4 linked regions of the Macaca fascicularis genome follow. The protein of the gene in region 2 interacts with the protein of the main gene of each other region in a pairwise test. Links are inferred from orthologs where the notes say so. Each region holds a gene or a part of one and is shown on either strand. Other genes may lie near its edges. The genes, in order: PRICKLE1, UTP14C, TEX11 and PDE4DIPP2.

What was found.
Region 1: the proteins of UTP14C (region 2) and PRICKLE1 interact in a two-hybrid assay, tested with the Homo sapiens proteins (2 studies listed by BioGRID and IntAct). The two-hybrid records come from large-scale screens. The link is inferred for Macaca fascicularis from reciprocal best matches to the Homo sapiens genes UTP14C and PRICKLE1.
Region 3: the proteins of UTP14C (region 2) and TEX11 interact in binary tests that used the Homo sapiens proteins (3 or more experiments, as listed by UniProt). The two-hybrid records come from large-scale screens. The link is inferred for Macaca fascicularis from reciprocal best matches to the Homo sapiens genes UTP14C and TEX11.
Region 4: the proteins of UTP14C (region 2) and PDE4DIPP2 interact in a two-hybrid assay, tested with the Homo sapiens proteins (2 studies listed by BioGRID and IntAct). The two-hybrid records come from large-scale screens. The link is inferred for Macaca fascicularis from reciprocal best matches to the Homo sapiens genes UTP14C and PDE4DIP.

The regions. Positions count from the first base shown.
Region 1 is NC_088385.1:49,046,086-49,053,499, forward strand, and holds part of PRICKLE1 (prickle-like protein 1), read right to left. Parts: intron 7,116-7,414; coding exon 6,936-7,115; intron 4,907-6,935; coding exon 4,793-4,906; intron 4,290-4,792; exon of another isoform or gene 4,234-4,289; intron 4,125-4,233; coding exon 3,987-4,124; intron 3,364-3,986; coding exon 3,160-3,363; intron 937-3,159; coding exon 750-936; intron 1-749. UniProt on the Homo sapiens protein: Involved in the planar cell polarity pathway that controls convergent extension during gastrulation and neural tube closure.
Region 2 is NC_088391.1:31,197,434-31,205,342, forward strand, and holds UTP14C (U3 small nucleolar RNA-associated protein 14 homolog C), read left to right. Parts: upstream 1-2,559; 5' UTR 2,560-2,776; coding exon 2,777-5,089; 3' UTR 5,090-7,729; downstream 7,730-7,909. Other genes in the region: ALG11 (GDP-Man:Man(3)GlcNAc(2)-PP-Dol alpha-1,2-mannosyltransferase), read left to right, coding at 2,288-2,559. UniProt on the Homo sapiens protein: Essential for spermatogenesis. May be required specifically for ribosome biogenesis and hence protein synthesis during male meiosis.
Region 3 is NC_088395.1:77,570,841-77,578,722, forward strand, and holds the start of TEX11 (testis-expressed protein 11), read right to left. Parts: upstream 4,334-7,882; 5' UTR 4,229-4,333; coding exon 4,205-4,228; intron 253-4,204; exon of another isoform or gene 1-252. UniProt on the Homo sapiens protein: Regulator of crossing-over during meiosis. Involved in initiation and/or maintenance of chromosome synapsis and formation of crossovers.
Region 4 is NC_088375.1:114,057,225-114,065,230, reverse strand, and holds the start of PDE4DIPP2 (myomegalin), read left to right. Parts: upstream 1-3,673; 5' UTR 3,674-4,058; coding exon 4,059-5,183; intron 5,184-8,006. UniProt on the Homo sapiens protein: Functions as an anchor sequestering components of the cAMP-dependent pathway to Golgi and/or centrosomes.

The sequences.
Region 1 (7,414 bases), on a different chromosome or scaffold from region 2:
ATTCACAACCCCCAAACTAATATTGGCAACCCTTTCATGGTCATTCGCAGATGTGCAAAGTGGTAAAAATATGAATTGAACCAACACGCACTGATCCAGGAGATGCTCCAGCCTTTTGTTTCAGCTCTCATATTGTAGACAAGTGTCGCATTCCTGATCTATCTACTGCCATGTTTTCTGCGTTTTTGTGCTTTTTGTTGGTGAGTTTGCTGTTTAAAATGACCCCAAGTGTAATGCTGACAGTGCTGAAATGCTGTCATGTTCCTAAGGGCAAGAAGGCTGTGATGTGCCTTATGGAGAAAAGACGTATTACATAAGCTCCTAATCTTGAGTATGGTACTACTGGCTGTGAATTCAATATTAATGCATCAACAATGTACATTCAATAAAGCAGTGGCTTTAAGCAAAAACACACATGAAACAAGATTATGCATTGATGGGTTGATGAAACGGCAGTGCCCAGAGGCTCATAGGAACCTAACCCTGTATTCCCCCACGAGCAACGGTTCAGTGTTCACTAATCCAGCGTTCGCAGTAACTTCACAGAACACGACTACTATGAAAAACAAGAATCGACTCTCTGTTCATTTGTCAAATTTCATCAGCTGGAACATTTAAGATCTGTACATTTCACTGTATGTAAATTATATCTCAACTTTAAAAAACAGAAAAGAAAAAATAAGACTGTGGATAATTCTAGACAGACTAATGGCTAGGTGACAGGGCAGACGGGCTGGCTGTGGACTTACCAATATGTTCCCCACAGGTTTCACAGTACTCCGCATAGAGAGACTCAAAACAGCCACAGCAGAAGGGGCGGCCATCCTTCATGATATACCTCTGTCCTCCCAGGACCGTTTCACACTCAAGGCAGCAGAAGTGCTTCATGTGCCAATGGCGACCCTCAGCTTCTGTGCACTCATCAGCAAAAATTATCTTCAAAAAGAAACGTGAAACCAGAGAATGAAAGAAAATCATTAGGAACTATTTTAAAGGCCAAGTAACTGCATGTTTTTTGGGCAATGGACAGACACTGGCTCTTAAAAAAATCAAATAGCTAACCTTGTTTCTTAGAGTCACAAGCTTAAATCTAACTTGATTTAGCTACAAACTAGAGCATAAATTGACAGTACTGAAAAAAGAAACTAAATAATAAATACTTGCTTCAACCTGACAAAACAGATTCTACATTAGAAGTAATTCACTGGGTCTTATTTTTGTTCCCCAATAACATTTCCTTGGCATAATCTGGCAAAGAACACATTAACACGGAAATACTTTAGTGAAATAATTTGGTGTTTCAGTAGAAAGAAAAGTCATAAAAATGTCTGTGGACTCAACACAGTTATAGCTACACAGATGCTGGAATTGAGTGAACAGCATTTGTGTTGATAATGCTTTATTTGACCTGGTGGCCATCTCCAGATTAAGGACTCTTTATTTTTTTGAGACAGGGTCTCACTTGTAGCCCAGGCTGGAGCACAGTGGCACAATCATAGCTCACTGCAGCCTCAGACTCCTGGGCTTGAGTGATTCTCCCACCTCCGCCTCCTGAGTAGCTGGGACCACGAGGGCACAACCACCATGCCCAGCTAATTTGAAAAACATTTTGGGACAGAAATGGGGTCTCACCATGGGGTCCAGGCTGATTCTTTTATTTTTACTTATTTATTTTTATTTTTTTGAGATGGAGTCTCGCTCTGTCACCACACTGGAGTGCAGTGGCATGACCTCAGCTCACTGCAACCTCCGCCTCCTGGGTTCAAGCAATTCTCCTGCCTCAGCTTCCTGAGTAGCTGGGACTACAGGCACCCGCCACCATGCCCAGCTAATTTTTGCGTTTTTAGTAGAGATGGGTTTCACCATGTTGGCCAGGATGGTCTCTATCTCTTGATCTCATGATCCGCCCGCCTTGGCCTCCCAAAGTGCTGGGATTACAGGCATGAGCCACCGAGCCCGGCAGGTTCTTCTATTTTTGGTGTCCAAAATATGTTCAGTGGAGCACGGTGGCTCACCCCGGTATTCCCAGCATTTTGGGAGGCCGAGGCAGTCGAATCTCTTCGGGTCAGGAATTCGAGACCAGCCTGGCCAACATGGTGAAGACCGCCTCTGCTAAAAATACAAAAAAAATTAGCTGGCCGTGGTAGCAGGCACCTGTAATCCCAGCTACTCGGGAGGCTGAGGTGCAAGAATCACTTGAACACGGGAAGTGGAGGTTGCCATGAGCCGAGACTGCACCACGGCACTCCAGCCTGGGCAACAGAGAGCAACTCCATCTCAAAAAAATTTAAAAAACAAAACAAAACCAAGACCAAAACCAAAATATGTTCAAATAGAACACTGTTGAAAAAAAGGATCAAATAAATGAATGTATACAAATAAAAACAAAGTTTATTGTCACACATGGAAGGAGACTAAGATACAACGAGTAAATGCAATGAGGCACCCTGGATTGATCTTGGATAAGAAAAGGAACATTTGTTACAAAACTAGGAAAATCTAAACAAAGACTATGGTTTAGTTAATGGTATTATACTGATGATAATTTCCTAGTTTTGATACATATATTATGGTTATGTAAGATGTTAGCATCAGGGGAAGCTGGGAGAAGGGCATGCAGGACCTCTCTGTAATAGCTTTGCAATTCTTCTGTAAATCTAAAATTATTTTAAAAAGCTAAAGGGAAAAAATTTTTCCTTTCAAGCCATCATCCATTCCCACCTTCCCCCAAGGTAACTACTACTAATTTGGTATTTGTCTTTCCATACCTTTTCTGAGTATAAACAAATACATGTATCATACTGTTTTTTAAATCCTTAACAAAAAAAGACCATCTACTACATGTTCTTCTGCAACTTGTATTTTCTCACAACGCACTGAAGATATAATGCTTATCAAAGTACAAAGACATCTGCTTCCCTTTCTATTAGGTAGGTGCAAAAGTAATTGCGGTTTTGACCATTATGGCAAAAAACCGCAATTACTTTTGCACCAACCAAATATAGATTACTTCATTGTATGAATGTACAGGATTATCTTTAAAACATGCACACAGAACAAAATCCAGGAAATTTTAATATTTTGCTTAGATGTAAACAGTGGAATATTGGCTTAATCTAAGCTTATTTTTCCCAGTGTGAAAGGATGAACTTTTTTTACCTCGTCACATGCCGAGCACCGTGGTTTGAGCAGTTCTGCATGGTGCCTGCCACAGTGAATTTTTCCATCCTGATAAAAATAGATGAGGTCGACCAGCAGCTCATTGCACGTGAAGCAGACAAAACAGGATGGGTGCCAGCACACGCCAGGGCCCGCGCGGGAGGCGAACACTGCAACTTCACCTCCGTTTATCTTCAACCCACACTACAAACAAATGGGTTTGAATGTAAAAGGATCATTTTTTAAAGACGGGATTCTCAGGCTTTCCTACTTTAGGATAAATCTCGAATTTGTCAGGAATGTGTTCATTTTTGCCACCTCTGTTAATGATTAAATAGCTCTTTAATGCTGGATTACTGGTGATTCTCCACTGTAAGGCATGTGTCTCAGACATACTACGACTGTTTCTAAGGACGGTGTAATGTGATTCACACAAATAGTGGTTTTCCTGTGCCAGTCTCCTGCTGGATACATTTCCTACTCTGAGAACTGCCAGCAAAGATCTGAATGTCTTCATTATGTTTCTGCCTCTTTTGAATACGAGATGTATCCTAGCACCTACCTCCATGCCAGGATCCTACCAAAGGCAGGATTTCACCCAATGTTTGCACAAGGGTGACTGACTCCTGCTGTCATACACAGCAGTGTAGCTAGTTACAAATATGAAACATGAATTGCTATTTAATAAAAAGCCAGGCTGTCTTCCTCTCACTTTTTGGAGGCTTTCAGGGCCCACACCTCTGCTAGATAGTTAGTGGATAACCCCTAACTATCCACCCCATCCGCATCACTGCCACAAGCTACACATCGGAGAAGGGGCTGCCCACCTGCTCACACACAGCATGCATGACTGCTCTGGACAGAAGCTTAATTGTTCCTCTTCCCAGTGCTTCTTTCTTCCGCTGAGCACTGAACACCTGCAATTCTTTTTTCTCCTCTTCACTCAAAGACTGGCAATACCGCACCTTCACAGAAAGCAAAACAGAAACACCACACTGAGTGCACAGTCTTTCTCACCAGTTCTCTACTTCCAGAGTTAGGGTTTCAGGAAATAAAATAGTAAGTTTAGCTCGCCTGTGTCACACCTCCACGATTTTAAAATGACACCATATCCAAATTTTACAGCCTCTCTAGAAAAAGGGAAATGCAGCGTGAAGGAATAGTCTTTTTTTTTTTTTTTTAAATAAGAAATGTTTAATTGAAAACCCTTATCAGCACAGACATTAAAAAAAAAAAATAGGACATTAACCTTTCCACAAAAGGTTTAAACTTGTTAACTGCCACTTTTACTCTCCATTCTACATGCACTCAACTCAACTGCAGGCCTGAATGACCATAAAGCATTCACTCTGGATGCAGGGGCAGGGAAATCTCCGGCATTTGTAGGTTCCTGATCATTGGTGGGTGGCTGCAAACACTATAAAAACCAACTTGTGTTAAGTTGATTACACTGATACTCTTTTCTCTCTTCTCTCAAAGAATGGAAAGCTGTATTCTCTGGCCAAATTTTAACTAAAGAAAGGCAAAAGAGAGCCTGACTCACCAGTGAGGATATGGGGTTTATGAGCAGCATCTCAATGCTTCTCATGCATTTTTTTCTTTTTTCTAATTAGCCTTCTTCCGGCTATTTTACCTCATTATCATGTGGTGGTAACTGGTACAAAAGCTGTTTAATCCGATGCTTCTCTCCAGGGCTGTTAACGTAAGGAACCTTTTCCTCTGGTAAGCAAGCAAAATAGAGCTGGATCTGCATAAGAGACAGTGAGAATGGCATCAGTATACAGAACTGAGCATTTCAGCTCACTTAATCTTTAAAAGTTACCTTTCCCTAGGTACAGGGTTTGGCCTCTTGTAGCTAATGAGAAGACCAGCTGAGCCAACTCAGCAGAACTGCAAACCTTCAGATAACTAGCACCCAGCTGCTAAATTGCTCTTCAGGAATGTAATTTGTAGTGAAAATTAGGGACATCATAAATTATGCACCATAAAATATGCACATTTAAGACTACTTTTCCTGGTGCTGTGGCTCACGCCTGTCATCCCAGCACTCCGGGAGGCCGAGGCAGGTGGATCACCTGAGGTCAGGAGTTTGAGACCAGCCTGGCCAACGTGGTGAAACCCTGTCTCTAACTAAAACTACAAAAATTAGCTGGGTGTGGTGGTGCACACCTGTAATCCTAGCTACTCGGGAGGCTGAGGCGGGAGAATCGCTTGAACCCAGGAGGCGGAGGTGGCAGTGAGCCGAGATCGCGCCACTGCACTCCAGCCTGGGGGACAGAGGAAGACTCCATCTCAAAAAAAAAAAAAAAAAAAAAAAGACTACTCTTCCTCAGCCAATCTTCCAACGGGTCAACTAAGAGATCAGCAAGAGAGAGAGTTCTGGGTGAATTGTGCAAATTACCACACAGACTATGTGACATGGCCCCAAATCCACCCAGTACACAAACACACTGAATTTGCTCTCTGAAGTTTACACATCACAAAGACAAAAGCTGTTTAGCTAAATGTTGTAAACTCTTCTTTATCAGGTGCTCTCAAACATCAGCTTTCTTTGCTTCCATGTATGCTATTTTCTGAATACCTGAAGTCAGTCTCCCTAGGGAAATTGGAGAGAAGCCATATTGAGCTGTACTTTGCTCATTCTGAAAGGAAAACTTAATTTCTGCCTGTTTGTGTTCTGATATCTTTAAAGGAACATCCCTTAATGAGTACTGCAAAGGATACTGCAGAGCTGAGAAGGAATAAATGAAAAAAAAAAAAGACATGAGACAGGAATTTAGGGCCTGTCTACTTCAATACCTTAGTACCACACAAAACCTACCCACCCTAGATGTAAGAAGGGATTCTCTCTAAGTAGTTTGTCCAAATACTGCTTTTCTAACTGCTTCACCAGTACTCCACCCTCTCCCCATTCTATCAGCTCTAGAAGCTTTTTACAGTTATAAACACTTACTGAATATCAGCTACATGCGTGCCAGGTACTGTGCTATGCCATGGATAAATAAGGATACCCTATTCTCAAAAAATGTCCCCCCCTACAGGAAACAGAACCCTAACTCAGAGCAAAGCAACCACACACCCCACTGTCAACTTTATTTTCAAATGATGCCTTTGCTCTTTTAATAATATCACGTGATTTTCAACAAGTTAATCATTGTAAAGATATTGGGAAAATTAAATAGGCATATAGAATGTTCTCATCTTCCTTAAAATAACAACACAAACAAAGCATAAAATTAACTCTCTAATTTTTTTTTCCCAATCTCTGGTGTAAGTGACAGGCTCTTTTATATGCAAAGTTATCAAAGGTCAAATGTCTAAGCAGTAACACTTCAGAGGGTTTCTGATAGCTTGCCATCTCGCTTCCAAAGCAAAAGCATTGCTGAGAACTGGCATGGAAACTTTTCTCTTTTATTGCCTTTTTGTTGTCACAGAAGTTTTTCAAAAGGTAAATTCCTCTCACTCTCAAGAGGGATTCATCCGAAATACATATAACCAATGCATATGTAGTACTCCGGATTTCATTCATTAGAGCAAAAATGGGATCCTTATGAGGCTTCTGGAACCATGAGGTACGACGAGACTGGAAACTTCCATTGAGAAACTAAATATGACCTTCAAAAGTAAAACTTCAAAGCCATACAAAGAAGAATAAGGACTGAGGAGGGTGGTATTCCAGCATCTCAGTGATGTTCTATCCATTTGCAAAATAATGTTCTGAAGTCTGAACTCACACTGAAAAACAAAGAGTAAATATAGGATGATGAAGTTCCTACCTGCTCTGGTCTCAGGCCCGGGGGAACCCAGGCATACTCCTCCAACGCACAGCCAGAGTCATCATCTGATGTGGAACTTCTCTGACAGCCAAAGGCCAGCTTGCTCATTTTGGGCTCCATCTCCAAAGGCATAGAGTTTAAAGCCTGGTTTCTCAGGCACAGGACATCAAACAATGGCTGCTGTGGACAATATAAGAAAAAACAAAGACATCTAAAACCTGAATGCATGTCTCTTACTCTGACCCAGAGCTTTTACTGAATGCTGTTAACACACAGCTGGGCCCAGAGAAAGTAACCAAATTACTACTGTCACCACCCCCCAGCCCCCAGGCCCCCTGAAATTCAAAATTTAGAGCTATATAATTTGGTAGTAGTCCCTTTGCCAGCTCAGAATTTCAGAACATGCCACCAAAGCTAGTTTATTTCCAGGAGCCTTTAAAAGGTGCCTCTCTATAGCCAATTCCTTAGAAAAGTTCTCA
Region 2 (7,909 bases):
GCTGCTTGGCCTGTCAGAGGCTTCCTGCCCTCTGGTGGAACCAACAGGCTACACAGGCAAGTGCTGTGTGCCAGGTGCTATGCTAAGGAAGTGCAGGGTGATGTGAAAGTGCCAAAGAGAAACCTAACACAGACTTGTGCGGGCAGAGAACGGTTGCCCAAGGAAGTGATGTGACACTTGAGCAGAACCCGAACAATAATTAGAGGTTAGCCAGGAGAGACGGGAGAGTCTCCAGCAGAGGGAACAGCACTATGACAGGAGTGACAACAGATGCATCAATAGGAACATTAAGCAGGAAGACAACAGAGAGGTGATATGGGCCAGGTTAAGCCAGTGGAAAAGAACAGCAGGATTTTAAGTATTGTATGCAAAAGCTTTCTGATTTCTGCAGTCCATTCTGGCCACATGGGGAGTGGATCAGTGAAGAGCCGGGAGAGCAAGATTGGAAAGGCAGTAAGATGCGAGCCGGCCTACTGTAGCAGCCCAGGTGGAGGTACTAGTGAGCTGAACTTGGTAGGTGAACATGCTTGAGAGACATTCTGCAGTGTATTGACCAGGACTTGGTGATTAACTGGATGTGTTAAATGAGGGAGGAAGAGAAGACCACCTAGGGTTTTGGGAGCTGGGCAACTCTGAGAATGGTGTTGGCTTTCTCCCAGAGGGGAAATCCAAGAGCAGATACCATTGATGAGCCAAGTTTTGAACCTGCAGAGTCTGAGTTAATCTGTGGGACATGTGAGGGCATGCGTCCAGGAGGTAGTTTTGTATATAGGAGTCTGAAGTTGAGGAGAGGAATCTGGTCTGGAAATACAAAATGCGGATTGTCCTTGTGCAGGTAGTTATCAAAGCTCCCATGGATGTGGATAAGATCGCCTGGGGAATATGTACAGAGTGAGAAGAGGCTCTCAGTACAAAATGCAGAGAACAGAAACAGCTGAGAAATGGGGAGAAGAAGGGGGAGAGCCAGCCAAGTGCAGTGTCTTAGAAACCAAGGAAGAGAGTGTTTGGAGAAGAATGAAGAGGGCACAGATTCCGATGCTGCCCTGATGCTGGGGAAGGTAAGGCAGTCACTGGTGACCTGGGCAAGAGCAATCTTAAGGGAGAAGTAGAAGCAAAAGTCAGACTATGAGCAAAAATCAAAAGTTGAGCACTCAGAAGTGAACAAGTAGAGTTGGTAAGTGCAAACCACACTTTCAGTAAGTTTGTGAAGTACGGAGCGGGAAGAAGAGACAATGGCTAGGGGTGGGTATTGCAGGACCTGAGGAGAGGCATGTGGCACCCTAGCTTCAATGCTGATAGGAAGGAGCCAGTAGAGAGGGAAAGGGTAAAACTGATTAGATGAAGGTCTCTGAGAAAGTACAGGATGCTCTCCAACCTCAAGCAGAATACGATATGAGCTACTGAATTCTATTCTGCAGGGATTTCACCACTGGTTTAGAAACATTTGGAATTATTTAATTTCTCTCCTATACATCCAGGATGATACCAGCTCTGTACCATCCTTCAGATAATTGGGAAAGCAGTCACTTAAATCATTCTCTGAAGGGCTTAATTCTCCTAGGAATACAGCTAAGAAAGGCTGGCTACATTAATTTATATTTCATGTGTATCATTTGGCAGAAACTAACCACAACTTTCATTTAGTTCAGCACTGTTGTTGGGCACGCAGTAGTCTCAAATATGCCAGAAATCCAGGCAGTAACATAAGCACTGCAATAGTATGCTTCACTTAGGTGATTCGCATTTTTTATTTTTTCTGCTAATGTAATTTGAACTATTAAAATTGTTTTTGATATCTTTTTACTCCTTTTGTTTTTCTAATACCTGTTAATATTCTACCATCTTGCTAACATTCTCTAGTCTTTTTTAATTATCTGCAATATATCTTTTTTAATAGGTTAGTCTTCCATCTACTTGTCTATTTTAACTAAGAATAAAGCAGCAGGCTGGGTGTGGTAGCTCACGCTGGTAAATCCCAGCACTTTGGGAGGCCAAGATGGGAGGACCACTTGAGGCTAGGAGTTAGAGGCCAGCCTGGGCAACATAGTGAGACCCTCTCTCTCCAAAAAAAAAAAAAATTGTATTATTATGAAGCTATGAAAACTAAAAAACTTAAAATTATTTTATTTTGTACTATAGAAGTTAAATAAGCAAATGTCTAGACATATAGACATTTAATTAAGTTTCTCATAAGTCCCTTAAAATTTTTGAAGATTTCTGTTCATCCTCATTCTTATGAACACACTCAAAAACTTAAAATACTACATGATTTTTGTTTTTTTCTCAGGAGTTGTGGAGTGTATGGCAGCTGGCACAATTATCCTTGCACACAATTCAGGGGGCCCAAAGCTTGACATTGTCGTTCCTCACGAAGGAGATATAACTGGCTTTCTGGCTGAGAGTGAAGAAGACTATGCTGAAACTATCGCTCACATTCTTTCCATGTCTGCAGAAAAGAGACTCCAAATCAGAAAAAGTGCTCGTGCATCTGTAAGCAGATTCTCTGATCAGGAATTTGAAGTGACATTCCTATCATCTGTGGAAAAGTTATTTAAGTAATGCCATATCTGGAAAATTAAAGATATTTTATATAAACTGGTTAAACACCTTCATATGTAAATATTTTTCTAAATTCAATCTCATTTGTCAAATCATTTTACTTTAGAAAACAGACAAGAAAATTTCCTTTTAGAATAAAAGGAAGTGTTGAAAAGAAAATGGATGACTAGCCTTCAGCTTCCATTCTTGGTACACATGAGAGAAGCTGGCTGCTGAGATGAATGTGAACCGGGTTGTGGAGAGCCTTCTGGCTTTGAGCCAACAGGAAGAATTAATGGATTTGCCAAAAAACTGCCCCTTGAGTGAGAATGAAGATGAGGGGGACAGTGATGGAGAGAGAAAGCATCAAAAGCTTCTGGAAGCAATCAGTTCCCTTGATGGAAAGAATAGGCGGAAATTGGCTGAGAGGTCTGAGGCTAGTCTGAAAGTGTCAGAGTTCAATGTCAGTTCTGAAGGATCAGGAGAAAAGCTGGTCCTTGCAGATCTCCTTGAGCCTGTTAAAACTACTTCTTCTTTGGCCACTGTGAAAAAGCAACTGAATAGAGTCAAATCAAAGAAGGTGGTGGAGTTACCTCTTAACAAAGAAAAGATTGAACAGATCCACAGAGAAGCAGCATTCGGTAAAACCTCACAAGTCCTCTCTAAATGGGACCCTATCGTCCTGAAGAACCAGCAGGCAGAGCAGCTGGCTTTTCCCCTGGGGAAGGAGCAGCCAGCCATTGCTCCCATTGAACATGCACTCAGTGGCTGGAAGGCAGGAACTCCCCTGGAGCAGGAAATTTTTAACCTCCTCCATAAGAACAAGCAGCCAGTAACAGACCCTTTACTGACTCCCATGGAAAAGGCCTCTCTCCAAGCCATGAGTCTGGAAGAGGCAAAGATGCACCGAGCAGAGCTTCAAAGGGCTCGGGCTCTGCAGTCCTACTATGAGGCCAAGGCTCGAAGAGAGAAGAAAATCAAAAGTAAAAAGTATCACAAAGTCGTGAAGAAAGGAAAGGCCAGGAAAGCCTCAAAAGAGTTGGAGCAGCTGCAGAAGGTTAATCCAACTGTGGCATTGGAAGAACTGGAAAAATTTGAAAATGCCAGAATGATGGAAAGAATGAGCCTTAAGCACCAAAACAGTGGGAAATGGGCCAAGTCAAAGGCAATTATGGCAAAATATGACCTGGAGGCTCGCCAAGCTATGCAGGAACAGTTGGCCAAGAACAAAGAACTGACACAGAAACTCCAGGTAGCCTCTGAGATTGAGGAAGAGGAGGGAGGCACAGAAGAAGTGGAAGAACTCCTTGTCCCCCATGTAGTGAATGAAGTCCAGATGAATGTGGACGGACCAAATCCCTGGATGCTCAGAAGCTGCACCAGTGACACCAGAGAGGCTGCAACCCAGGAGGACCCTGAGCAACTGCCAGAGCCTGCCACCCATGAGGTTTCTGAAAGTGAGGGAGAAAGACCAGTGGCAGAGGAAGAAATTTTGTTGAGAGACTTTGAGGAGAGGCGATCCCTTAGAAAAAGATCTGAGCTCAACCAGGATGCTGAGCCAGCAGGCATTCAAGAAACAAAAGATTCTAGCAGCCAGGAGGTGCTGTCTGAATTGAGGGCACTATCTCAGAAATTGAAGGAAAACCATCAGTCCAGGAAGCAAAAAGCAAGTTCAGAGGGGACTGTTCCCCAGGTCCAGAGAGAGGAACCTGCCCCAGAAGAAGAGGCGCCCCTGTTGCTACAGAGGCCAGAGAGAGTACAAACTGTGGAAGAGCTAGAAGAGCTGGGAAAAGAAGATTGTTTTCAAAATAAGGAGCTTCCCAGACCTGTGTTAGAAGGGCAGCAGTCAGAGAGGACCCCAAATAATCGGCCTGATGCCCCTAAGGAGAAGAAAGAGAAGGAGCAACTGATCGACGTACAGAACCTCCTAACTACACAGTCTCCTTCCGTGAGGTCTTTGGCAGTTCCCACAACAATAGAGGAGCTGGAAGATGAAGAGGAGAGAGACCAAAGGCAGATGATAAAGGAAGCTTTTGCTGGGGATGATGTCATCAGAAATTTCTTGAAAGAGAAGAGAGAAGCTGTGGAGGCGAGTACGCCAAAGGACGTGGACCTGACACTACCTGGCTGGGGCGAGTGGGGTGGTGTGGGCCTAAAGCCTAGTACCAAGAAAAGACGCCAGTTTCTCAAAGCCCCTGAGGGTCCTCCAAGAAAAGATAAGAATTTGCCAAATGTGATTATCAGTGAGAAGCGCAACATCCACGCAGCAGCTCATCAGGTACAAGTGCTTCCATATCCATTTACCCACCATCGGCAATTTGAAAGGACCATCCAGACCCCTGTAGGATCCACATGGAACACCCAGAGGGCTTTCCAAAAGCTGACTACTCCCAAGGTCATCACCAAGCCAGGTCATATCATTAAGCCCATAAAAGCAGAGGATGTGGGCTACCGGTCTTCCTCAAGGTCAGACCTGTCTGTCATACAGTGGAATCCAAAACAAATCACCACACGTCACAGTAAAGAGTTGAAGAAAAACTCTGTAGGTTGAGTAGCTGGAAAAGTGACAGCTAGGAGTTCTGATTCCACTTCCTTTGGTCCAGTTTTACTCTGCTACAGGGTGGATTCCAGAACTGGCTCAGCACATTGCATGTAGTTGAGCCACATTTTTAAAAAAAGAAAATGGATGACCATTAATTGACTAGCATTTTAGAATTGATCAGACATTAGAACACAGAAAAATGCTGGTACATTTACATTCTAAACAATACAGTGGATGACCCTTTTGAATATACCTAATGATTTCCTTTAAAAAGAAATTTTAAACAGACTTGTGTAATCATGTTCTCAAAGCATACAGTCAAGAGGTGGGACTGACTGATGCTTTATAGGTGTGTGTAGGGCAGTAGAGGCCAAGGTGCTGCCAACAGTCCTTTCCATACTAGGTACTGGTGAAAATTGTTTTTGTTTAGTGCTATCAGCACATTTGTGTGGGTCTCATTATCGCTTGACAGTACCGCATCTCAGCCTGGAAGTCAGGTTTAAGTCATTCAAGAGAACCTCAAGTTGTTTTTCTGACAGTGATGATGTGGTATACAGATACATCCACAGGGTATTTATTATCTATTACCAGCATAATGCATTGTCAGATGGCAAGGTGGCATTTTGAAAAGAGCACTGGGCAAGCAGTTAGCATATCTGGGCCTACCTTCAGCTTCATCATTTACAAACTTCTGACCTTTTGACACTAAAACTGCTCCTTTATCTTTCTGAGTCTCAGATTCTTCATCTGTAATCTGGAGTTGTTAATTCCAGTCCTTACTACCTTTTGGAGTTGGAATAATGAGATGGAAAGTGGATGAAAGTACTTTGAAAATTATGACAGTTAAGGGCCGGGAGCAGTGGCTCACGCCTGTAATCCCAACACCTTGGGAGGCCAAGGCAGGTAGATCATGAGGTCAGCAGTTAGAGACCAGCCTGAACAACATGGTGAAACCCTGTATGTACTAAAAATACAAAAAAAATAGCTGGATCTGGTGGCGGGTGCCTGTAATCCCAGCTACTTGAGAGGCTGAGGCAAGAGAATCACTTGAAACCAGGAGGCAGAGGTTGCAGTAAGCCAAGATTGTGCCACTGCACTCTAGCCTGGGCAATAAGCAAAACTCTGTCTCAAAAAAAAAAAAAAAAAAAAAATTATGACAGTTACTTAAAGGGAGCATTACATACTAAATGTCTTCTATAATCCAATCTTTATTAATGCATTACAACTCTATGTAGATTCTTAGTTACTCGGCCAGTAGCTAGGAATTGGTATAAATTTAATGCACCTTCTATCCTGAATAACTAGCATGGAAAATTGAATATATGTGTGAGCAGATACGGCTGTAAAAACCTATAGCTTTTGCATTTTCTGCTTATATAATCCTTTCTAGTTCAGTGAATTGACCCCATCCATAGCCTGATTCATCTTTGTGTTAAGGGGCAAATGAAAGGGTACATTATTCCTTTGCACTCTTCTCTCAGTCACTTATCAATGTGGCCAGCTTATCTACTCCCAGTTATGTTATTCATACGTCTCCAGGCCATCTGTCATCAGATCAAAAAGCAAACAGAGGACCAGTCACAGGATGTTCTGACACACCATTGTAACTTTGTGTTAGAGATGATTCCATTTAGAAAAAGACGGGTAGAAATTGGAGTGAAAGGAACCCTACGGATTAGCCCAGTTCTCTCTTATTTTCAGCTTTACAGACCAGAACAATTTAAATCTAAAGAATTTAGTAGACTCCTTCAGTGCCACAAAGCTGTTCCATGAAAGAATCAAGATTATAACCTGGATATTCTGACTCCTGGCCCAGTGCTTTTTCTTACTTTGTAGCTACACTTTGAAGTAAGATTCAAACTGTTACCCACTTAACTGCCTTATTCCTGAGGAGGTAGTGAAGGAAGAAAAAGTTTTCTGGGATTCCATAAACTATAAGCTTATTTCTTTAAAATTATTTTCATACATCACAGATATGTCATTGGAAGATATAATTTACATATGATGATTATCAGTGTTCGTAATGTGGTATATGTCTTCTATTTTTTTCTGAATGATAGCATGAAAAGTGTCAAAATGGCTTGTCTGCTAGCGTCTGTCTGCAGAACTTTCAGAATGACTGTTCCTCTCAGACATCATTTTTGAGTGGTCCAAGCCTGCTATGTTTTGAACCCACAGCAGTGGAGGTTTGTATTCTTATTTACACTTGTGTACTATAAAGTATGTGTTACATAGGTTTTGTGTAATTATTATTCGTAAATATGATTTAATTTGTATTAAGACATGATTTAGATCTAATAGATACAAAGTCTGTGTCTAAATATTATTTAAAGAAGTGATTTTTCATTCTCTTGGATTCTTTCCTTTTATATGCCTCACATAGTCTCCTTGTTCTACTAATATTCCCAAGCTCCATAGCCAATTAAAGAAGAAAGAAAAATAAAAGTTTGTCTTGCTTGTGAAACATTAAGAAGAGGCTGTCAGGTTTAATAAACTTTTTAATGAATATTTTGGACATAAACTGCAGAGCTTCGTACACTTGATTTAAATAATTCTCGAGGGATTTTATAAGGTCATCTTATACGCAAAATTGTGAGATAGAGACCAGTGTGATTATCAATAAAGAATATTTGTGTTTATGTAAATAAACCCCAGACTCTAGAACTGATATATTCATATATATTCACAATGAGAGTATGTGTGTGCCAAATCTATCAGTACATTAGAAAAGTTAATTATATAACTACAACATGTTACACAAATTTTTAGAAGCAAATTATGTCCTGTAATTTACCTCCCCTCCCCCGCTGCTCTTCTGCTAACTCATTT
Region 3 (7,882 bases), on a different chromosome or scaffold from region 2:
AAGTCGACTTGTGGCAAATGTGGCTACCCTGCCAAGTGCAAGAGAAAGTATAACTGGAGTGCCAAGGCTAAAAGACGAAATACCACCAGAACTGGTCGAATGAGGCACCTAAAAATTGTATACCGCAGATTCAGGCATGGATTCTGTGAAGGAACAACACCTAAACACAAGAGGGCAGCTGTTGCAGCATCTAGTTCATCTTAAGAATGTCAACGATTAGTTATGCAATAAATGTTCTGGTTTTAAAAAATACTAAATAAATAAAATAAAATAAAATAAAATGTTGGGAACACAGAGCAAATTGCCTTTTATGATGTCAGAAATATTACATGTACCGTATAATTATAGCTAAGTAACATTTAAACAGTAAAACTATTAAAGAAAATACATTAAAATAATAGTTGTTATATTCAAGTGTGTGTTTGCATGTGATTTTGTATCCATTTTTTAAAACTTTCTGTAAAGTTATGTTACTTTATGATTTTAAACAATTTTTTGTATTTTCTCATATTGTGTTAGAAAGGATAAGATAAACTATGATTGTAAATACTTCATAATCACAAAACATATTTATTCAACACATGTGTATTAAGCACCTAAGATGTGGCAGGTTTTGTCGTAGGTTTACATAAATGTATAATGATAAGCATGGTAAATACATGCTGCAGACAGAAGTAAATAATATGAAGATTAGACTTTCCAGAAAGAAAATAAATTCAAGGCATTTCCAAAACCAAGCAGATCTTCTTGAAAAATAAGACCAAACTCTTATGGCTCATGCCTATAATTCTAACAGTGGGAGGCCGAAGAGGGCAGACTGCTTGAGCTCAGGAGTTCGAGACTAGCCTGTGCAACATGGAGAAACCCTATCTCTATGAAAAATACAAAAAATTAGCTAGGCATGGTGGCACACGCCTGCAGTCCCAGCTACTTGGAAGGCTGAGGGGGATCACTTGAGCCCAGGAGGTCGAGGCTGCAGTGAGCCGAGATCATGCAACTGCACTCCAGACCAAGACACTGTTTCAAAATACAAACAAACAAACAAACCCAAACTCTTGGAATCTTATAATTTGTTTTCACTAACAGCTAAGTACCGTAAGAGGTTATGATCTAAAAAGAGATTTACAGCCGGGCACAGTGGCTCACACCTGTAATCCCAGCAATTTGGGAGGCCGAGGTGGGTGGATCTCTTGAGGCCAGGAGTTCGAGACTAGCCTGGCCAACATGGCAAAACCACATCTCTTCTAAAAACACAAAAATTAGCCAGGTGTGGTGGCGCCTGCCTGTAATCCCAGCTACTTGGGCGGCTGAGGCACAAGTACTGCTTCAAACCAGGAGGCAGAGGTTGCAGTGAGCTGAAACCCTGACACTGCACTCCAGCCTGGGCAACAGAATGTGATAGTCTAAAAAATAAATAAATAAATAAAATAAAAAACTGAGATACCACCTCACAGTACTAGGATGACTACTATCAATAAAAAAACAGAACAAGAAGTATTGGTGATAATGTGAAGAAACTGGTACCCTTGTTCACTATTAATAGAAATGTAAAATGCTATAGTTGCTATGGAAAACAGTATGGCGGTTGCTCGAAAAATTAAAAACAGAATTGTCGTATGATACAGCAATTCCAATTCTGGGTGTATATCCAAAAGAATTGAATGCAGGGACTTGATCAGAAATTTCCATACCAATGCTCATAGCAACATTATTCACAATAGGCAAAAGGTAGATGCAACCCAAGTGTCCATCAACAAATGAATGGATAAACAAAATGTGGTATACACATACAATGGATTATTCAGTCTTAAAAAGGAAGAAAATTCTGACACATGCTGCAACACGGATGAACCTGGAAGACATTATACTAAGAGAAATAAACCAGTCACAAAAAGACAATTATTATATGATTCCACTTACATGAGGTACTGAGAGTAGTCAAATTTATAGAGACAGAAAGTAGAATGGTGGTTGACAAGCTGATCTCAAAATTCATAAGAATTTTAGGCCGGGCACGGTGGCTCAAGCCTGTAATCCCAGCACTTTGGGAGGCCGAGACGGGCGGATCATGAGGTCAGGAGATCGAGACCATCCTGGCTAACACGGTGAAACCCCGTCTCTACTAAAAAATACAAAAAACTAGCCGGGCGAAGTGGCGGGTGCCTGTAGTCCCAGCTACTTGGGAGGCTGAGGCAGGAGAATGGCGTGAACCCGAGAGGAGGAGCTTGCAGTGAGCTGAGATCCGGCCACTGCACTCCAGCCTGGGTGACAGAGCAAGACTCCGTCTCAAAAAAAAAAAAAAAAAAAAAGAATTTTAGAGGGCAAGGGGGAGTTGCTTAATGAGTACAGAGTTTCAGTTTTGCAAGATGAAAAGGGTTCTGGAGAATGGCTGCACAATGTGAACATACTTAACACAAGGGAACTATACACCTAAAAATGATTAAGACAGTAAATTGTATGTTATGTGTGTTTTACCACAATAAAAAACACAACGAGATAAGATAACACTTCAAACCCACTAAAATGACTATAACCAAAAAGACAAATAATGAAAAATGTCAGCAAGGAGGTGGAAAAACTGGATCCCTCTATCCCTCTTTTTTTTTTTTTTTTTTTTTGAGACGGAGTCTCGCTCTCTCGCCCAGGCTGGAGTTCTGTGGTGTGATCTCGGCTCACTGCAAGCTCCACCTCCCGGGTTCACACCATTCTCCTGCCTCAACCTCCCGAGTAGCTGGAACTACAGGCACCCGCCACCACACCCAGCTAATTTTTGTATTTTTAGTAGAGACGGGGTTTCACGGTGTTAGCCAGGATGGTCTTGATCTCCTGGCCTCGTGATCCGCCTGCCTTGGCCTCCCAAAGTGCTGGGATTACAGGCATGAGTCACCACCAACTGGATCCCTCTTATACTGCTAGTGGGAATGTAAAATGGTACAGCCATTTTGGAAAACAATCTGGTAGTTCATCAAAAGTTTAGAGTTATCACATGGCCCAGCAATTTCATTCTTAGGTACAAACCTAAGAAAAATAAAAACATAAAAATCTGTACATGAGTATTTATAGCAGGATTATTCATAATAGCCAAAAGGTGGAAGCAATGAAAACGTTCATCAATAGATGAATGCACAAACAAAATATGGTATAGCCATACAATGGGATATTATTCAGTCATAAAAATGTATGAAGTACAAATACATGCAACAACATGGATGAACTTTGAAAACATGGGGCTAAGTGAAAGCAGTCAGTAAACCACACATTGTATGATTTTATTTACATAAAATGTCCTCATTAGGCAAAACCATAGAGACCAAAAGTAGATTAGCGGTTACCTAGGGCTGAGGGTGAGGGAGGGAAGGGGATGGGAGGAAATGGAGAGTGTTTGTGAATGGGCGTGGTTTCTTTTTGAGGTGGTGAAAATATTCTAAAATTAACTAACCGTGGTGATAGGTGCACAACAACTCTGGGAAATACTAAAAACTATTGAATTGCATACTTGAAATGGGTGAATTGCATGGTATGTAAATTATATCTAAATAAAGGTATTTATATATACATAAACACATACATACATATATAGATACATATATATATAAAGAGGAAGAGAGATTTACAATAAACTTTCTTCTCACCTTTCCATATAAGTAATCACCAAAATGCAAGTATTTGCCCAAGGTAAATGTTCTCAAAAGTGTTTCAAGCCTCAAGACAATTTCCATATTAAGTAAGTAACAGACCTTCATTTAAACATTAGAAAATTACCCCCCAAAAAAGCACTTCTGAAGGCTTATAGTCAACTGAGTTCTCCACTACTGGGTGGCTCCACTACTTTGCTGCAAAGGGAAGGAAAAGAGAACTCGTGTGTGCCCAGGACCTTATGTATGTTATTTTGTTTACTATTCACAACAACACTTAGAGGTGGGTATTACTATTATCATTTAACAGATGAGAAAACTGAAGCCTGGAGAGGTTAATAAATATTAATAATATATAACATTACTAATAAATAATAAATGTTTAAACTTGAGCACATATTTTTCCATTGGTTTCTAAAATTTTTTTCCCCTAAATTAGGTGTGAACATCCAAAAATAGATTTTTATATGTTTAGCAAGGGTTAAGACTACTTTTTTATCTATATAATACATTGGTTAAAATGAAGAATTATCAAAACTTGTCATAAACAGAATTATTTTTATACTAACCTGAGCGTCTGTTATTTCAGCCATAGACTCCCTGTTGATATTTGCTATGTCTCTGAAGAGTCTATCAATTGCCTCTGGTATGTTAGGTGAATTATCACTTGCAACCAGGTTTTCAACAACTTCTGAAATAACAATGGATGATAAATGTGCTGTGAACTATTACCATTGGCTAAAAGTAGCAAATCATTTTTAAACCTATTCCTAAATCATTGGCCAAATGAATATAGCATGAAGGAACTTGATCCTTAGAGTAAAACCAAACTGGAGATTTAAAGTTTATTTAAGCAAGAGTATAATTTTCAAATAAAATTTGCATTCTTTGGGAGTCACTTGTTTATAACTTAATCATTATTCATTCTCAGAAAGGAAAATGCATTGACTTCACTAATAGTAAAGTTATTAGGTAATATTAAAAGTACAAAACAGGCCAAGCATGGTGGCACACATCTTTAGTCCTAGCTAGTCCAAAGGCTGAGTTGGGAGGATCACTTGAGTCCAGGAGTTCAAGAATACGGTGAGCTATGATCCTGCCACTGTACTCCATCCAGCAAGGGCTACAGAGTGAGACCCTTTCTCTAAAACAAACAAAAAAAACCCTACAAAACTGAACTTAACAGTGTCTTCAAAACTAGAAAATGTAGAAAATCTGAAAGATCTGGATATGTGCCCTGTAAAACTGAAAAACTTATTAATATTTTCAAGCATTAGACAGACATAGCAAACTGCTGGCTCTGAAGTCTTGACCTTACTTTGTGAGAAAAAAAAAAAATGACATGCTCAATTAGCAACAACATTAACCAGCTATTGAATCTGCACAAATGATGTCACCATTTTCTAAATGGTCTCAGCTCCAGACTCCACATAGCTGAATCTTACTAGGCCATGGAATTCCTTAAAACCCAAGCATTAGCTGTGCACAATGTTCCACGCCTGTAGTACCAACTACTCAGGTGGCTGTGGCAGGAGGATCCCTTGAGCCCAGGAGTTTGAAACAGGCTGGGCAACATAGCAAGACACCATTTAAAAAAAACAAAAAACAAAAACAAACAAAAAAAAACACTAAAACTAGGTCAGGCGCAGTGGCTCATGCTTGTAATCCCAGCACGTTGGGAGGCTGAGGCAGGCGGATCACTTCAGACCAGGAATTCGAGACCAGCCTAGTCAACATGGCAAAACCCCATCTCTATTAAAAATACAAAAATTAGCTGGGTGTGATGTGCTCGCCTGTAATCCCAGCTACTGGGGTGGCTGAGGCATAAGAATTGTTTGAGCCTGGAGGTTGAGGTTGTAGTTAGCTCAGATCGTGCCACTGAATTCCAGCCTGGACAACAGAGCAAGACTGTGTCTCAAAAAAAAAAAAAAAAAAAAAAAAAAAAACCCTAAAACTAAACAATAAGCATGATGTAGAATCTCAATTGATGCCTTTCATATTATCAAAAAAATTTTTTCAAACTCATGTGACATAAGTGTCCATAAGCTACATAGTTCTAATTTATTGCAACATTCCTGAGCCTCAGATTAGCAAAAATGTTATTAATATTCATAACAGTACCATAAAAGCACCTTCTAAAAGATTTTAAGCTGCTAAAATAAACAGAACTTTTACCTTGCTACAATAAAAAATAAATCAGCTACAAAAATTTCAATTAAACAAATGCTTGAGGTGATGGATATCCTATTTACCCTGATGTGATTATTACACATTGTATGTCTGTATCAAAATATCTCATGTATCCCATAAATATATACACCTACTATGTACTCATAAAAATAAAAATTAAAAATCAAAATTCTAGCTAAACATAAGACTATAGATTCAAATAAAGACTTCACAAAGCAAATTATGTTCAATTATGTTAAAATACCACATATTTTAAATACTTTAGGTGAAAAAATATATATGAAAAGAAAAAATACAAAAATTAGCCAGGCATGGTGGCGCGTGCCTGCAGTCCCAGCTACTCTAGAAGGTGAGACAGGAGAATCGCTTGAACCCAGGAGGCAGAGGTTGCAGTGAGCTGAGATTGACCACTGCACTCCAGCCTGGGCAACGGAACAAGACTCCAACTAAAAAAACAAAAAAACAAAAAACAAAAAAAGAAAAGAAAAAAGAAAAAAATCCTCTATCTTTCTTTCTCCCATAAGTTGTTTAATGGAAAGACTGCTATTAATATCTTGACTCCTCTAAGATTAGGTAAGTATTGGGCTGAGGGACATATATTTATGTAGACCTTGCTCAAAATATTGATAGCAGAATCAGGGAGATTTTAAAATTGATGTTTTTAAAAATACAAATATTGTTTAAAAACAGATTTTAAAAAATATTTTTGAGAAGAAAACAAAACCCCAATATAAACTTTCATTTGTTTGTTTTGTTTTGAAGTCAGAGTCTCACTCTGTCACCTAGGCTGGAGTGCAGTGGCCGATCTTGGCTCACTGCAATCTCCGCCTCCCAGGTTCAAGCAATTCTCCTGCCTCAGCCTCCTGAGTAGCTGGGATTACAAGCACATGCCACCAATATACGTTTTTAATTTGAGTTCCTTTTTAAAAAAAAAACAGCCTGGCCAGCCGTGGTGGCTCATGCCTGTAATCCTAACAGTTTGGGAGGCTGAGGCAGGTAGATTGCTTGAGCTCAGGAGTTTGAGACCAGCCTGGGGAACATAGTGAGACTTCATCTCCACAAAAAACTTAAAAATTAGCTGGGTATGGTGGCTCACACCTGTAGTTCCAGTTACTCGATGGCTGAGGTGAGAGGATCACTCCAGCCCAGGAGGTGGAAGCTGCAGTTAAGCTATGATCAAGCCACGGCACTCCAACTGGGTGACAGAGCAAGACCTTGTCTCTCAAAAAAAAAGAAAAAAAAATCCTAAGATATTATTGTAGAATACCAATAATAGTTTCTGGTTAGTTTATGAGACTATGAAGACATATATTTTGATTTGTGAATGTTCTCTTAAGTGGTTAATGTTTTATTAATTCATTTTTGTCTAAATAATTCTGGTCCTTTCAAAACATATTTTCAGTGTTATTCAGCTGAGCAACTTCACTGACACCAGCTGAGGCAATGACAGCATTGCAGTCCTTCAAGGATAAAATGCAGTCAGCAAAACTGGGTAAGTGATAGAGATCACACAGCTGAAAGGTTGAGAGTTACACTATAAAGAAGAGATTTGCATCTGGGAGAAGCTCAGAAAAGAAAATCTATTTTTTTGTTTCTGTCTTTGTTTTGAGACAGGATCTTGCTATGTTGCCCACCCTGGCCTCAAACTCTTGGGCTTAAGTGATTCTCCCATCCGAGTAGCTGGCATTACAGGTGTGTGCCACTGCACCCGATGAAAATAACTTCTATAAATGCAGTCTACGGCTGGGCAAAGTGTCTCATGCTTGTAATCCCAGCAATTTGGGAGGCCAACGCAAGAGGATTGCTTGAGCCCAGGAGTTCGAGACTACCCTGGGCAATATAGGGAGACCCCCATCTTTACAAATAAATTAATTAAATTAGCTAGGCATGGTAGCCCACAACTGTGGTCCCAGCTACTCGGGTGGCTGAGGTGGGAGGATCGCTTGAGCCTGGGAGGTTGAAGCTACAGTGAGCTGTGATCACGCCATCACACTCCAGCCTGAGTGACAGAGACTCTGTTTCAAATACAAAATGCAGTCTACTCCTGAGATGAGAAG
Region 4 (8,006 bases), on a different chromosome or scaffold from region 2:
TGTTTCACTTAAGATGTTTTTGAGGTGTATCCATGTTGCATGTATCTGAGTTCATTCTTTTTCATTGCTGGCTAGTACTGTATTGTATTGTATGAATACACTAAAATGTGTTTCATCTACCTTTTTTCTTAGTAACAATTATATTTTTTTCTTGTCACAAAAGCAGTTAAGTACTTACTGTAAGTTATGTAAAATATGTAATGTAAAAAATTATAGAAAATAAGGAAGAAAGAAAATAAATATCCATAATTCCACTCTCTAGACATAACCATTACTAATAACTTGTGGATCCCCTTTGAACTTTTGTTATTATATAAGTTATCTTCTTACATTATATATCATCATATTTAGTATAAAAATTCTTATTTTAGGTTCAAGTTTTACCACTTAGACCCTATATTAGTGTGTTAAATTGGCAGCCCTTATTTTAACTATAAAATATTTTCTAAATTAAATAAAATCTAAAATACCTGAATAAACATTCATTGTCCAAAATTCAAATGATACACAGTATATAGAATAAAAAGTAAATGTCCTTGCATAGCCCCACCACAGGTAACCAGTTCAACTGCAAACTCTTGACCACAAGATAATAATGATAAGGACCAAGAAGTGCAAAATTTATTATCACATAATTTTCCTAAGTTTTATTTTTAAATTTTTATTTTCTATATACCAGTGATCTTTTCGTTGGGAACACCTTATTTCATAATACCAAATGCTCATATAGGGACTAATTCTAGTACAACAGCTTATATCGACTTTGAGATACATTTTTGAACTATTTTCTCTGCAAGTGAACAGACTGCCATCTTCACATTTTCTGATTGCTGAGTGGTTTATTCCCATCTGTTTTTGGAAGTCTAGATATGTATAGTTTTCTCAGTATATTGATCTTTACTTATAGCAAACATATTCTTCAATGGCAATTTGCCTTTTCACCATTTGTATTGACCTGTATGACTACACCAAGCTATCTATATACTGTCATTAAAATTTGGAGACTATCAGTTAGATGCAAAATCCTTTTGAAGAACAGAGAATAACCCAAAGTATAATTCAGGGTTTGCTCTTGAAGAGCACTTTGTTTCATTCACATTTTCCTAATAGGAAAATGTGGCTTGCATTGACAGTAAAAAACAAGATCTGGATTACACTTAAGACTGGGTACGGCAAGGTAGTGTCCTGGCAGGCAGTCTGTCTTTCCATCAGTCAGGGTAAGTCCAGAAACTCTTTGCCTTTCTATAGATCACCATAGATTCCAAAGCACGTTGCTTAATTTCTTCCAACTTTGAAGCTCACATACCTAGAGGCAGGCAAAATGCAGCTGTAGTTTTACTGGAAACCCTTTTATATTCTTGGTTTTTGAGTCAGAATACACTCAGTAGATGAAATTACATATGCAAAATTCTACAGCCTATGATATTAGGCCATTCTTGCATTGCTATAAATACTTGAGACCAGGTAATGTATCAAGAAAAGAGGTTTAATTGGCTCACAGTTCTGCCGGCTTTATAGGAAGCATGGTGCTGGTATCTGCTTGGCTTCTGGGGAGGCTTGAGGAAGGTTACAATCATGGTGGAAGGTGAACCTGCAGCAAACAAGTCACGTGGCCAGAGCAGGAGCAAGATGGGGTGGTGGAGGCACCACACACTTTTAAATGACCAGATCTCAGAAAAACTCACTCACTATTGCAAGGGTAGCACAAACCCATAAGGGATCTGCCCCCCTGACCCAAACACCTCCCACCAGGCCCCACCTCCAACACTGGGGATTACAATTCAACATGAGATTTGGTGGGGCCATATATTCAAATCATATCGCCTACTAAGCCCAAAGCTCTAAGTACTGTCTTTCTCTCTTACAATAGAGCTACAAGATTTTGCTTTGGTGATTAAGAGAACAATACAATCTTATGTAGGCAGAGCCCCATAATGTTTTAAAGTGACTTAAAATATTCCAATTCATATTAAAATAATAATAGCCATTATTTAATGAGCTAAACATGGTTAAAGCATTTCCTCAAAATTATCTCATTTGGTCTTCAATATGAAGTTTGGGGGGCTTATTATGAACTCTCATAGATGGCATTTGGATGTCTTCAGGTTTAGGAGGATGGGCTCTGTCCTGGGGACGAGGTTCAGAAAAACTTAGACGTTGCTGGCCTTAGCTTACAAGGTCAAGTTAGTAAAAAAAAAAAAAAAAAAAAAAAAAAATTTAACATGATTAGAACTGAGAAATGGCCTGCTCTAGGGGACTGCAAGTGATTGCTGCGGTTGTTCCTCTTGTTCCGTGTCTGAATGCCTCTCAAGTCAGGAAGAGAATTCTTTATTAAAAATGGCCGGAGGGCGCGGTGGCTTAAGCCTGTAATCCCAGCACTTTGGGAGGCCCAGGCGGGCGGATCAGGAGCTCAGAAGATCAAGACCATCCTAGCTAACACGGTGAAACCCCGTCTCTACTAAAAAAATATGAAAAATTAGCCGGGCGTGGTGGCGGGCGCCTGTAGTCCCAGCTGCTCGGGAGGCTGAGGCAGGAGAATGGCGTGAGCCCGGGAGGCGAAGGTTGCAGTGAGCCGAGATCGCGCCACTGCACTCAAAAAAAAAAATGGCCGGAGGTACCTGCATCCCACCTAGTCAGGGCTCTAGCTTCCCTCCTCTTTGTGTGCAATCCAAGTTTTAGACCCAAGGGTGGAGGACCTACCACTGTACAGTGCTGAGTAAGACAGGGTTCTCACCGAAGTCAGCGAAGTTCCCAGTCCTTTCTGGCGCGAGCTGCATTCCCAGACACTCCAGCTCTTGCCGAAAGGAGCTCCGTCTTTTGCGCTAGTGTTTGTCTACCCTCCCCTGCCCTAAAATAATGAATGCCCTCTACCTGAGGGAGAGACTTCAGTGGCGGTAATCTACTCGCGGCTGGCTGCATCCTTGAAAAAGCACATTTCCCTTCTACTATCTTCAAGATCTTGGTTAACCAGATTCACATTGTATTTGCAGGACGCTTTCTCAGGTGACTGCTCAGTGCTCTTTTTTACCGAAAGTAGGGCAAAGTCCCCCAAGGGTGCTAACCCTCCCCCACCCACATCAAGGAAGAAACAGTCCTCTACTCTTTTCTGGACATTCCGGTTCAGAGTCGAGGTAAGGGTTGCATGGCCCCGCCCCACCCGCCCCTCCGTTACCAAGCCTTCCCCCGCCCGCCTCGCAGTCTCAGGGCCTTAGAACCCAGGCGGGGCGAGGCCGGGAGAGGTGGGGCTGCTGGCTGGAGGCGGCGGCGGCGCGCAGCGGTACCTAGCGGCGCTGCCCGGCTGGCAGCCGGAGGACGTGGCACTGTCCGAGGATCCAGGGGGAGGGGATTCGGCCTTCTCCTCCCCGCGAGGAGGAGCCTCGGGACATCCTGCAGAGGCGGGAGGATCCTTGAGGGCACTGGTGCGCCTTTCAGGTGAGCTCTTAGCAGATAAAAGCGGCTGGCTGTGGTCCGCGCCAGTAGTGCTTTCTGCTCTGCACTCCCAGTGAGCCAGGTGCGCAACCGGAGTGGGGGCGAGGGGCGTGCTGGCCACCCCGCATGCGCAGAGCCGGGAGCCCGCTGACCGGACTACAGCTCCCAGAGGAGCCTTGTGGAAGCCGCAGACGTGGAGCCGCTGGCGCCATCTTGAAATCTGATCCTCAATCCCCGAGCCTTTGAGTCTGCGCGGCGGGCCGCTGCTGCTCCGGGAGCCCAGTCTGTTAAAAGGGTAGGACGTTGAGGACGCGGCGGCTGGCGGGAGAGACAGCTGGGGAGAGACATGGCAGGGTCGGAGCGCGGCCTGCGCCTCTGTCACTCAGCATCCTCTTAGACGTTTCCACGCCCGCCCCCTGCCCAAGGGGCGGGGCTGACGGCTGTGGTACCCGGAGCCGGCGCACGGGGTAGGGGTGCACCCCTGCAGAGTGAGGACCCCACTGGGCTGTGCCATGCTGACTGGAGACCACTGAGGCGGGAGACAGAGCGCGGCGAAGAGCCATTGAGTGGTCATCCAGTAGCCGCCGCCGCCGCCGCCTCAGGAAGCTTGGCACCCGCTAGGAGGGAAGATGAAGGAGATTTGCAGGATCTGTGCCCGAGAGCTGTGTGGAAACCAGCGGCGCTGGATCTTCCACACAGCGTCCAAGCTGAACCTCCAGGTTCTGCTTTCGCACGTCCTGGGCAAGGATGTCCCCCGCGATGGCAAAGCCGAGTTCGCTTGCAGCAAGTGTGCTTTCATGCTTGATCGAATCTATCGATTCGACACGGTTATTGCCCGGATCGAAGCTCTTTCTATTGAGCGCTTGCAAAAGCTGCTACTGGAGAAAGATCGCCTCAAGTTCTGCATTGCCAGTATGTATCGGAAGAATAACGATGACTCTGGCCCGGAGGTCAAGGCGGGGAATGGGACGGTTGACATGTCTGTCTTACCTGATGCGAGATACTCTGCACTGCTCCAGGAGGACTTCGCCTATTCAGGGTTTGAGTGCTGGGTGGAGAATGAGGATCAGATCCAGGAGCCACACAGTTGCCATGGTTCGGAAGGCCCTGGAAACCGACCCAGGAGATGCCGTGGTTGTGCAGCTTTGCGGGTTGCTGATTCTGACTATGAAGCCATTTGTAAGGTACCTCGAAAGGTGGCCAGAAGTATCTCCTGTGGCCCTTCTAGCAGGTGGTCGACCAGCATTTGCACTGAAGAACCAGCGTTGTCTGAGGTTGGGCCACCCGACTTAGCAAGCACAAAGGTACCCCCAGATGGAGAAAGCATGGAGGAAGAGACGCCGGGTTCCTCTGTGGAATCTTTGGATGCAAGCGTCCACGCTAGCCCTCCACAACAGAAAGATGAGGAGACTGAGAGAAGTGCAAAGGAACTTGGAAAGTGTGACTGTTGTTCAGATGATCAGGCTCCGCCGCATGGGTGTAATCACAAGCTGGAGTTAGCTCTTAGCATGATTAAAGGTCTTGATTATAAGCCCATCCAGAGCCCCCGAGGGAGCAGGCTTCCGATTCCAGTGAAATCCAGCCCACCTGGAGCCAAGCCTGGCCATAGCATGACAGATGGAGTTAGTTCCGGGTTCCTTAACAGGTCTTTGAAACCCCTTTACAAGACACCTGTGAGTTACCCCTTGGAGCTTTCAGACCTGCAGGAGCTGTGGGATGATCTCTGTGAAGATTATTTGCCGCTCCGGGTCCAGGTATACAAAACGGCTACACAGTGCCTTTCTGATTATAGCTAGCTGGCCTCTGGCTTCACATGATTTCGGTCTAGGTGGAGGTTAGTAATATTCTAGACTTGAGAAAATTAGTCATGAGCCCATTTTTGCTGCACCTTTTCTGTGTCTCATTTAGTAAACGTGATTCGTACTCAGATAATTTGCTTTTCACAGTCTTTGTAAAATCTGTTGGCCTTCCCATTATCAAAATTGTATACCTTTTAAAACAAAAAGGTAAAGATTCCCACTTCACTTTTATCCTGTAAAAAGAAGACATTTAATCTCATTTCTGGCACTAGAACTTTTCCTCTTATCTCCTTTTCTTTCTTTTTTTTTTTTTTTTTTTTTTAACAACTTTTAAAATTTGTTCTTGTTTTCAGATTTATAGACGTTTCCTCCCAATGGCTTTCTGTAAGGCAGTTAGTTCTCTAGTTAGTTCTTCCCAGAGCATTGAAGCTTTCATCCGCAAAATGCCTGTAAATGATTAGAGCATAAGGTAAAAGGTTTGGGGGAAACCTATTAATCCACCAGTAAAGTATTATAACATCTGGACAATATTTATTATAATGAATAGTTCATTTGAGGATTAGTGATGACTCATTCATAAAAGAGACAGGAATTCAAGTATTCAAGTACAGTATTGTCACTCAAAACGTTAAGGCATAAACTGTTCACAGCCAGAACTCTGCTGAGTTCTACTGGAAGATATTTGATATTAAGAAAGGATTAACCCATTATTGGATCAGAGGAGAGTTTCATTCATTATAGTCTTGAATTCTTAATGACTAGAGGATGGCAGTTGCTTAATTTGAACCATTCATGTCTGCCCAATTGATTCTATACCAACCTTTTAAATTCAGCTATGGTAGTTTGTTTCTATAGCAACAGTAAATGCTAGGTTCAGTTAACTTTGTGAAACATACTGGCATGTTCCACTTGATACAACTTATTTAGCGATACTGTCACAAAGGTAGATGTGATCTAGAAGGCATTTTTAGAAAGCCTGCTACTGGTCAACATCATTCCAGAAATTTAGAGCTTGATAAGTAACATTGTTGATGGTCACATGAAACTTTTGGAAAGTAGTTCTGTGGTATGTATACTTTCTTTCACCATAAGAACCTAAGCAGAAAACAGGAGAAAAGTTTTTAAATTTACACAAAATTATGAGTAGCAGCATAGATGAGAAACAGCAGAGATGAAAGTGTCATGAAAGGTAAAAAGTCAGTGCGTTTTCATTTGTATAAAATGTATGTACTTCTTTTCTTTTGCTTTTCCTTTCAGTGGAGCCTCAGCTGAATTTGGGCTTTACAGTATTTCTGGACCAGACATAGGTGTTACAAATTAAACATGGTGTTTTCTTATTAGGGTCTAAAATTAGTTGGGCCAGGATGAATGGGAAATAAACTCGTCTCCCCAACCCGCCACCAAGTATGGCCAATATTGTAGAACATTACATAAAGACTGAGAAAATAACAGCCAAAACAAGGTCTTTTTTCTCCATATTTAAATAAAATACTCTATTTTGGTGACCGGATTTTGGAGTTGAGAAGAATTTTAAAGATCATCTTCAGGCAGTCCCTCAATTTGGAGATATGGAAAGAAAGTTCATTCTTTAACTAACTTAGCCCATGCAGAGACAAAGGTTTCTGACCATTCTCAGGCAAGACACTAATTCTATACATTAAACCCCATTGTCTGAAGTATATAAATTTAAGTAAGTACTTTTTTAAAACCAGGAGCCCTCTTTCTCTAACCTAAGGATGCTTGGGGGATTTTTTAGAGATTACGTGAAAAAAATTGTCATCTGAATGAACATATATAAACTATGGTAACTGTATCTTTAGGTCAAGTCCCTTTACTTCACTAAATTTGGACATTAGAGCTTTAAAATAGTAGCATATGACCTTTCTGCTGTGACCTAACTTACATTCTTACATTGTTTACTGTTTCTAGAAAAACAAAAATTGGGAGGGAGAAAATGTCATTCAGTTTCAAGAAATGTGGCATTTAATTATTATACCATTTTCTCTAATAATTTGAGATGTCAGGGAAAATAGATGAATTGGGCCCAACCTGTTTGTAAATAAAATGGGCAGCATATCTATTGTTTAAATCCGGTTACTTTTAAGCTCCTTAAGAGCCTTATGACAAAACCAGTGCTAGATAGGACAATGGCAGACTGGTTTTTGTCTATTTCTCTGAACAAATGTGGAAAGAATAGAAACAATGTAATTTTTTTTTTTGGTAGTTCTCCTTTTAGCTTGTGAAAACACGAAACCATGAAAGAAAAAAATGTTTCCTTTAGTTCAGTTCTGCCACAAATATGGAGAAAACCTTTTATCTTAAACAGCAAGATTTTCTGTAAGGTCATTTGGATTCCTTTGTTTAATCTTCCACTTACCATACTGTATGCACTATTAAATATTGACATCAGAATTCCTCCTGATTGCTTTTCATCTTTCTTTTTTTCTTTCCTTCTTTCCCTCTTTTTCTTTGTTCCTTTCTTATTTATTAAAGAAAACTAACAGTGTAGTTCTGCTTACTGATATTCTGATATTACACAAAGTAATTTATTTCCCTTCTACAGAATTTATGTATGACAACCTAAAGCTATTCAGATAGCTAAAGAAAGGTTTGAAGCCTTATTCTAGCTGGTAATTCCCTTCTTTATTGTCTGGCCCTGAACTAGAAAAGCTATGATGGGAGGGGTGTGGTCCCTTAGTAAACAGCAATGAGCTCTGGCCCATGTGCAATTTCCCTTTCTATCTAAAGTCAAAGAACAGGAGATCTTTGCTTTAAACC